Linked DNA regions of Daphnia pulex. The protein of the gene in region 1 binds, or shares a complex with, the protein of each later gene. Links are inferred from orthologs where the notes say so. Each region holds a gene or a part of one and is shown in the gene's direction. Other genes may lie near its edges.

Region 1 (4,377 bases):
AAATGCACCTGTACATTAGTGCAACATTACATGAACACCACCAAAAGACTTAAGTATGATGTCCAACTGCAAATTCATACAAGTTCCATTACAGGGAAGCTCTCAGATGGAAAATGACTGCAAGATTCACACCAGACAACACCATCGACAGCTCAAACACCAAACTGACCAAGGAATCCTACAAAACAAAAGGACATTAATAAGCCGAGAACATTTTCAGATTTGAAAAAAAAATCTGTTGTCATAAAAAAGTCTACATCTCTCTATTAGCTGGTTTTCACAAAAGCTGTCTTACTTGAAAAGAAGTAGGTGTCGGATTCTTTCTTTATCAAAAATGTAATATACAACTAATATTCAAAACAAAGAACATATGAAGCATCCATAGTAGACTACAGATTGAGCAAAATGCTTGCCCACCGATTGATTCAAACTGGCAACTTTTAACAACTGCTGTCATGGAAGCAAGAAATAATGTCACTTATTTTCCGACATCAAGAACAAAATGCTACCTAATTCAGCTTAAGAGTAACTTTTTTACCTTTCCAGATTTCCTCTTTTCACCTTATTTGTCATTCAATATGGAAGAACCTTCTCTAGGACGCATTTTCATGACAAGACAGCGATAACGTGCACGCAACACATGTTCAGACAGTTCAAACTCCATAATGCTGCTTATAGAAAAATATTAACTCAATTACTACATATCAAGGAATTTCAATTCAGAAAGAGTCATAGGAATTAAGAGATAATCAACAATTTTACTTGTACATAGACGTCTCAGACGAAACGTGCAACACGCAGCAAGAGATATTTAAGAAAATGTACAGCAATATGACCAAGGATAAATCTAAGGGCACGAACCCCGTAAATTCACCACACAAAATATTTAAAGTTAATAACCTTAGATTAACGCAGAAATTACCTTTTTCGACGAAGAATTTCAGAAAAATGCACTCAGCAATGACTAGAGTCACTATTCTCGGACAGCGTCACAGTTTAAAAGAAAGAGGAATTAGAATGTCGTCTCAAAAGTCAAAACTTAAATAACGCCCCCATTCATCCCTCTACACACTAGGGCTGAATAGTTCAATCCCTAAACACATTGAATTATTTGGCCACCTAGTGACAGCCCTTAGCATCCACGGGACCACGGAGTCACGGACGACAAAAGTCAGACGGAAGACAAACCAAATGTTCGTCATCTCCGTGAAATAGATTTAGTTGAAATAAAAAATGCAATTATCGAAAAATTAACAAGTGAGCTTTGTTGCTGGAATTATTTTTACAGATATGTACAAAATAGCTTAGCTGAAACTGACTAATTTGATTTTACAGCTGAAAATGACCAAAGGCTTATGATAAAGTCATCTAGCGTTAGAAAAAAGAAACGTACAAACAATTCGTTCGTGACTCTCAAAGAGGGTCTGAATTAGAAATGACTCAGACACAGCTTTTAAAGCTAGTAGATTATTAGTAATTATATATTAAAATAAGTGAATTGTCGGGTACCTAGGCACCCGTGGTGAGTGACTGTCACAGCGGAGTGAAGTGGTCCAACTCGTCAGTAAACTCTTTACTGTAACTCAATATATACCACGTATTTAATACCATGATCACACCACACAACTATCATTCCTCCTTCATTGCTCACGTTACATTACCATATCTGGAAAGATGAATTATTGTATATGCAAATTGCTACAATTCTATTCAGTAGTCAATTTTCAATAAAGTGGATGGCTGAACTGAAAGACAATTTTTATAGTATCCTTCTCTTGCTTTTTAAATTAAGGCCGACTAGTCGAGATTTAAATAATAGCAAAATCACTCTCTAAAAAACCACTTTTTACTACTTACTAATTACCATTAATTCATAAATAATGACTACGCCGTCTACGCGAGTCCGTGAAATCTTCGCTTCAACTGTTCAACATGAGTGGCAGACGAATAATTTTCAGCATTAGCTCAACAGCATCCGCATGAATTTCCGTCCTTCACTTGTTTTTCCTGAGTGTGATAACACAACAAACCGAACCACCTGAAATTTCCAAGGTTGCGTGATAATACATGCCTGTTTGGCTGATTATTCAGCGTTTCTGAATTGAAACTTCGATTAATTTCCACAATGAGTGAAGCAGGTGAAGAAATCAACGGAGATTCCCTCAAAGAAAATACACAGCCTTTACGCGAAGACCTGGTAAGTGGTAACTGTAATTTGTAAACATTCTTTTGAATGCATTTCTAGTTTATTAAAAATGCTTTATCACATTAGTGGTACAATGCAGTGTAAATGATTAGAACATGGTTTTTCTTTAATGTGTAAACAACTGTGATTCTGTGTGTATGATTTACAGATTTCCACTGCTGTAAAGTTTTTGCAAAACCCCCGTGTTGCAACTCGTCCCAGGTCAGAAAAAGAATTGTTTTTGCAAAGAAAAGGATTAAACCATGCTGAAATTTCTGCAGCATTTGAGGCCTCTGGAATGAAAGAAACCAAATCAGTATGTCATTTTTATCCAGGCACATATATATTAAAAGGATGGATTCTACGATTTTTTTTTATTGAAGGAGGGAGGTGTAGGACATTACTCTTCAGTTAAAGTAGCCCAACTGCATGAATATAGTCGATCATTGGCACCAGTTGCAACATCAAAATGGAGTATAATCAGGGATATACTAAATGCATCAGTCCTTATAGCAGGAGCTGCATATAGCCTTCATTATTTGTACAGGTAAGAAACAACTATTTATCTAATTTCTTAGTTTGGAAACATTAAGGTTTTTTCTTTTACTTTTAGGCGATTCATAGAGCCTTTTTTATTTGGCCATAAAAAGAAGAAGTCATTGGCAGACACTGTTGAAGAAATGAACAAGAACCTCACTTGTTTAGTCGGCGACGTTTCTGCTGCTGTACAGAATCTATCAGACACAGTTGCTACGCTTCGTTCAAAACAGCACGAACAATCTGAATTGAAGGAGTTAAAAGCTGAAGTGACATCATTGAAAGCCATTTTGTTAGGAAGGTAAAGTGTCATATAAATTTATAATTTTGATTAGTAAGGAATATGTAAAATTATTGGAATTTCATTATTGGAATTTGAAATTCATCAGGCGACAGTTTCCTGCTCCTCCAGCAATCGTGACTGGGCCTCCCTCTATTCCCCCTTGGCAGTTAAGCTCAACTAGTGGAGCAAAACAAGATCTACGTGCTGAACAATCTAACAAGAACAATCAAAGCGATGGCATTTCTCTGTCTTCATCCCCAGAGATCATCTCCGTAGAGGACATGCAAACAAATTCTTCGTCGATGGTGAATGCTGGTTTGAGCTCGGTGTTACCAGCTCGTGGTCCGAGCGAGAGCAGTGAATCCAATAGTGCCGAAATAGTTGAAATGGGAGCTTCTGGCGCATCTGGGGAAGAAGATACAGATTAAATTGCCAATTTTAACCATATTATTAATATTATGCCTGTTGCTTTTGTGTTGGAAAGAAATGTGAAATTTAAATACTTTAGTTGATGGCCTTCAAAAGATGAGCATCGGTGATCGAGTTAAAATTTCAAGCTGTATATCAACTAGTCCATGTATTGACTTTTACTTATTTCGTCGGGTTCGGGGCATTAAGATAAAAAATGGGAAAAGAAGTCTTGTTTTTTTTTGTTTTCTTTTGTTTGGTAGGGTGAGCGATACAAGGGGTAGAAAGGGATGATGTATTCACACACTTCCGAAATGGATAAGATAATCAAAAGAAAGAGACAGAGGAAGAGTATTCACTGTACACAATTAAAGATTGTTGATTCCACCTGGTTAGCCATATTGCTTTCAACAATAAATCTGTCAACTGGAAGAGGAAAGTGTAAGAAGAGAATAGAAGGGTCAACCAATCATGAACAACACGTTTTGTAAGAAGAAAAAAAAATATTGTCGTTAGTCTCTCAGCACACTACACTCCACATCAAATCCATCCAATCGCACACGCGTCATATCAATTGTTGTGTCTGTTAAAGACAAGGCCGGTCGATTACGCAACGAGAAAACTGAGGCCATCTGAGGACCGTTTGTAGTGATACCTATCGGTCAAATAAGGGCTCCTCAGTAGTGTGCAGTTAAGAGTTGTTGATCGACTGGAAACTGATCAAAAGTGAATAAACGCAAGGGAATGAGACTTGGCTGCAGAGGTGATAAGGGAGGTGGGCAGAAGTGAGGGAGCTGGTATGTGCCGGATGAAAATCACAAGTCAGCAAAACTACCAGAGTCGATGCGAGTGCAAGTTCCTGCCGAGAACACTTCGAACGTCCTGCGTGAATCGCAAAGCGTCTAGTACCGGTAGCAGGTTGAGCAGGGCAGTGTCCATTGGATCGGAGAACCAGGATTTGATG
Region 2 (3,515 bases), on another chromosome or scaffold:
TCATTTGGCTATGATCATTTGTTCTCGTTTAACAGTGGTTAAACTGTGTCTTTTTTAAAGAGTAAAAATGTCCCCCAAACGAACTTCAGCCGAATTCATTACCAATAGAAATTGCAGCCTAAATGTTCGTCCTGTAACTTTATCACATAAAGGTTATTAATCCGTTACAGCTATAAGCTGTTATCTAAAATGATTTAAAACTCTGTTAGAATATGGATCGCGTGTTTAAAACCAAAATTTTTTTATTAACTAGTATCAGGGGTGAAATTGGGTTGGTGCAGGTCATGTTGAATGTTTACATTTTTAATGAATGAAATACAGATGCATTACTTGCATTTTTTTAAGTTCACTCATTTTGATTCATACTTGAATTTCCATTTTATCAGCATTCAACACATTATGTGTCAATTATTTTTTTAAGCAATTGAAGTTTGCCTTAAAAAAAAAAATGACTCCACCATCTCGAAATCATACCAGGTAGGCTAGATGGTGAATTTTCTTGATTTGGTGAACATTCGCGATGTGTCATTCCAGAATCGGTAGTACAGCAATTCGTGAAGAAGAGAAGAGGAAGAATAAAACGAAGCAAGATATTGGAGGATCAGTGAAAACTACTACTCATGTATTGATTTTGGTATCAGCAATGGACAAGCACTATTGCGGCAAGGCAGACCACCGTGTACGTTATAGAATATCACAATTTTTACTGTCATTTTGTCGGAAGACATATTACCTTTACCAACTGAACGTACTTTTTCAAAATTCCTTCTTTCATAGCTTTTAATTTGGGTCTGGCAGGTAAGTGAAATTGATTTGAACTTTGAAGCAAAGGCGGGATGGTAACGACTGCTCGACTGGTAACAACGGGATATAACGACATGTTCGATGTTCTGTTTTCATTTGTTAAAGCAAGACTAAGCTTAAAGCAACCGCCCTAATGGAAATCTTTGATTTTGACTATGTTACGAAATATTACTGTTAGGTTTAGAAAATATTTATGAATGAGCAGTCGCTTCTGTTATTCAGAACAAAAAATACATTTTACTCTCCCAATAAAGACGCAAAATTCAAAACCTAAAAAAAAAGTGATTTGTTTTAATTCATTTTTCACGCCAAATATAATTTTAATAAACAAGCATTCATGAATCATGATGAAGCGCATCTGCTTCATTCACGCACGCACGAACCATCACTAAATACCGAATGATTTCGGCAACATCGCGTTTTATTTATGAGGTAGTATTTCGTCGTCTTGTCTGGTCTTGCACTCTTTTCCTTGTCGAAATTTCCGGATGAGCAAGTTTTGAAGCCTGTGTCGATATTATTGATATCGAAATCTATTTCTACTTATACAATTCTGTACTTTGCTGTAAATAGATACATTTCAGTATGAGTGGAACCGGTTCTAATGATCCAAAGTCTGTACAAGATACGGCAGATATTAAAGAAGAATCTAAAGGAGATGACGAAGAACTAGACGCTTTACTTGACGGTATGTAGTTTAAACTAACTAGTTATTTGCCAACAAAGGAATAAAACATTCATTAAATGTAACAGATGCCCTGGAAGGATTTGACAAGCCACTGCAAGTGCCCAAAACAAAAGACAATGTTAAAGCCGAAGCAGCAGCACCTACAGATCAAGTATCAGATGTTGTGTGGTCTGAGGAGTTTATTCAAGAAGCGAGTTTGGAATTTGAGAAAAATATTCGTTTGATGATGGCAGAAACAGCACCAGGGGCCAGTGGTGATTCTGGATTTGCTGAAAGTTTGTTAAAGGTATCACAAGAAGCTGCAGCTAAAGTATTTGAAAGACAACCAGACCAGGGAGCATCCTTTGCTGATACTCTACGCTATTTAGCAGAAGGAACAGAATCACTTCAGGTAAATTTTTGTGGGTAGGATAAACCAAACTTTTTTATTTTTACTTTAACATGTCCTTATTTTTTCCATAGACTGAAGCTGATGAAGCTACATTAGCCAAAATGCTTGAAAAAATGGCATTTGGACCAGATGGGGGATTTGGAGATGGTGCTGGTGGAGATATGGGAGGTTTGGGTGACATTTTACCTGCAATGCAAGGAATGCTTCAAAGTTTGTTATCAAAGGAGTTGCTTTATCCATCTATCAAAGAGATTGTTAGCAAGGTAAGCATTCACTTGAGAACTGATGATAGTCAATCTTGTCTCTCATAACTTATTGTTATCTCCTTAGTACCCAGATTGGCTCGCAGACAATCGGCCGAAATTAGAACCTGCGCAATTTGAAAAATACAACCGCCAATACGCCGTTATGCAGCAAGTGTGTACCGAATTCGAAAATGATAACGACACTGATGATGCAGCGACGAAAAATAGTCGCTTTGAAAAGATATTAACTTTGATGCAACAAATGCAAGAATGTGGCCATCCCCCTAAAGTGAGTGCGACTACGAATAATTTGATTGATTTTCATTTAATGAAAAATCTTAATTTCAAGGAACTGGCTGGTGAAGCTGAACTGCTACCGAATCCCTTCGGTGGCGCGGATTTTGCTCAATCGATGGGACCTGGTGCCGAAAATTGTGTTGTTATGTAATTAATATAGTATGTTATAAAACATGTTTTTGTTATTGAAATTGGGCTATAAAAGGTATTAGAAGGTCGTTAAAAAAAATTGTTTGAACGGCATTACAACTTAATTTTATCATTAATGGCGTCAATTCTCAATGATTTAAACAAATACGTTTTGTATTTACACGTATGACGAACTTGCCCGTCTCATTTTGGATCGTTGCTCACACTCTGTTACAAGCTTATTAAGTTCATCAGCCGAATAGCCCAACAGTTGTTTGAGGTCACAAACAAATTTATACACAAATCGTTTACCGCTTACTTTGCAAATCATATCGCCATCATAATAATACCTCAGGGCTCGACTGAGTTTCTCATAGTTCATGTGTGGTTTGTTTTTCCTTTCTCCCCATAGTTGAGCCACCATTTCGGGGTTATTTAATTTGAATTCTCCTCCTGTCCCAAGCCAAGAAATAGCATCCCGGAAATTCACATCGGTCAACAGCTCAAGGAGAAACTGCCAGAGTTGTACCTGGCCATTGCTGCCTGTGAAACGGACAAGTTAATTCAAGTTAAAATCACCTTGATCATTAAAGCATACATATACTATATTTTTTAAATACCTGTTCGGTTTCCTGAGTTAGCAATCGAGAACGAACGCGAGGAAAATGTTTCAAGGGGAATCCTTTTTGCTGGAGTAACAACTTTAACAGGCGGTCTTGGCATTCTGGAAGTATCAGATTTAACTGTCAATGGAGTTGTGATATACTGAAGATAAGGCACTGGTTTTTGAATCACCCCTGCATAAAACTTTTTAGTACACGTTTGCTATCGTAAAAATTCAAACTTTGATTCAATACCGACAAATTTGCATTTTCGTAGTAGTTCGAGATGGGTCCAGAATAGATCATGGTTTGGATCTTTTGATGAAGGATTTTTTGGTATTCTCTGAATAAACTCTGTG

What was found.
Region 2: the proteins of peroxisomal membrane protein PEX14-like (region 1) and peroxisomal biogenesis factor 19-like are in contact, whole or in part, in an NMR structure (PDB 2W85), measured with the Homo sapiens proteins. The link is inferred for Daphnia pulex from reciprocal best matches to the Homo sapiens genes PEX14 and PEX19. Residues at the interface, in NP_004556.1 of Homo sapiens: Leu28, Thr31, Ala32, Lys34, Phe35, Asn38, Ser39, Arg40, Val41, Ser44, Thr48, Phe52, Lys56, Leu58; in NP_002848.1 of Homo sapiens: Gln67, Phe70, Phe71, Leu74, Phe75, Ser77.

The regions. Positions count from the first base shown.
Region 1 is NC_060028.1:9,567,786-9,572,162, reverse strand, and holds peroxisomal membrane protein PEX14-like, read left to right. Parts: upstream 1-1,420; 5' UTR 1,421-2,125; coding exon 2,126-2,197; intron 2,198-2,354; coding exon 2,355-2,501; intron 2,502-2,568; coding exon 2,569-2,732; intron 2,733-2,798; coding exon 2,799-3,023; intron 3,024-3,111; coding exon 3,112-3,433; 3' UTR 3,434-3,642; downstream 3,643-4,377. Other genes in the region: CTD nuclear envelope phosphatase 1-like, read right to left, coding at 4,245-4,377. UniProt on the Homo sapiens protein: Component of the PEX13-PEX14 docking complex, a translocon channel that specifically mediates the import of peroxisomal cargo proteins bound to PEX5 receptor.
Region 2 is NC_060022.1:6,085,311-6,088,825, forward strand, and holds peroxisomal biogenesis factor 19-like, read left to right. Parts: upstream 1-1,232; 5' UTR 1,233-1,389; coding exon 1,390-1,492; intron 1,493-1,557; coding exon 1,558-1,883; intron 1,884-1,954; coding exon 1,955-2,146; intron 2,147-2,213; coding exon 2,214-2,417; intron 2,418-2,477; coding exon 2,478-2,576; 3' UTR 2,577-2,691; downstream 2,692-3,515. Other genes in the region: DNA-binding protein Ets97D-like, read right to left, coding at 2,733-3,097, 3,175-3,351, 3,412-3,515. UniProt on the Homo sapiens protein: Necessary for early peroxisomal biogenesis. Acts both as a cytosolic chaperone and as an import receptor for peroxisomal membrane proteins (PMPs).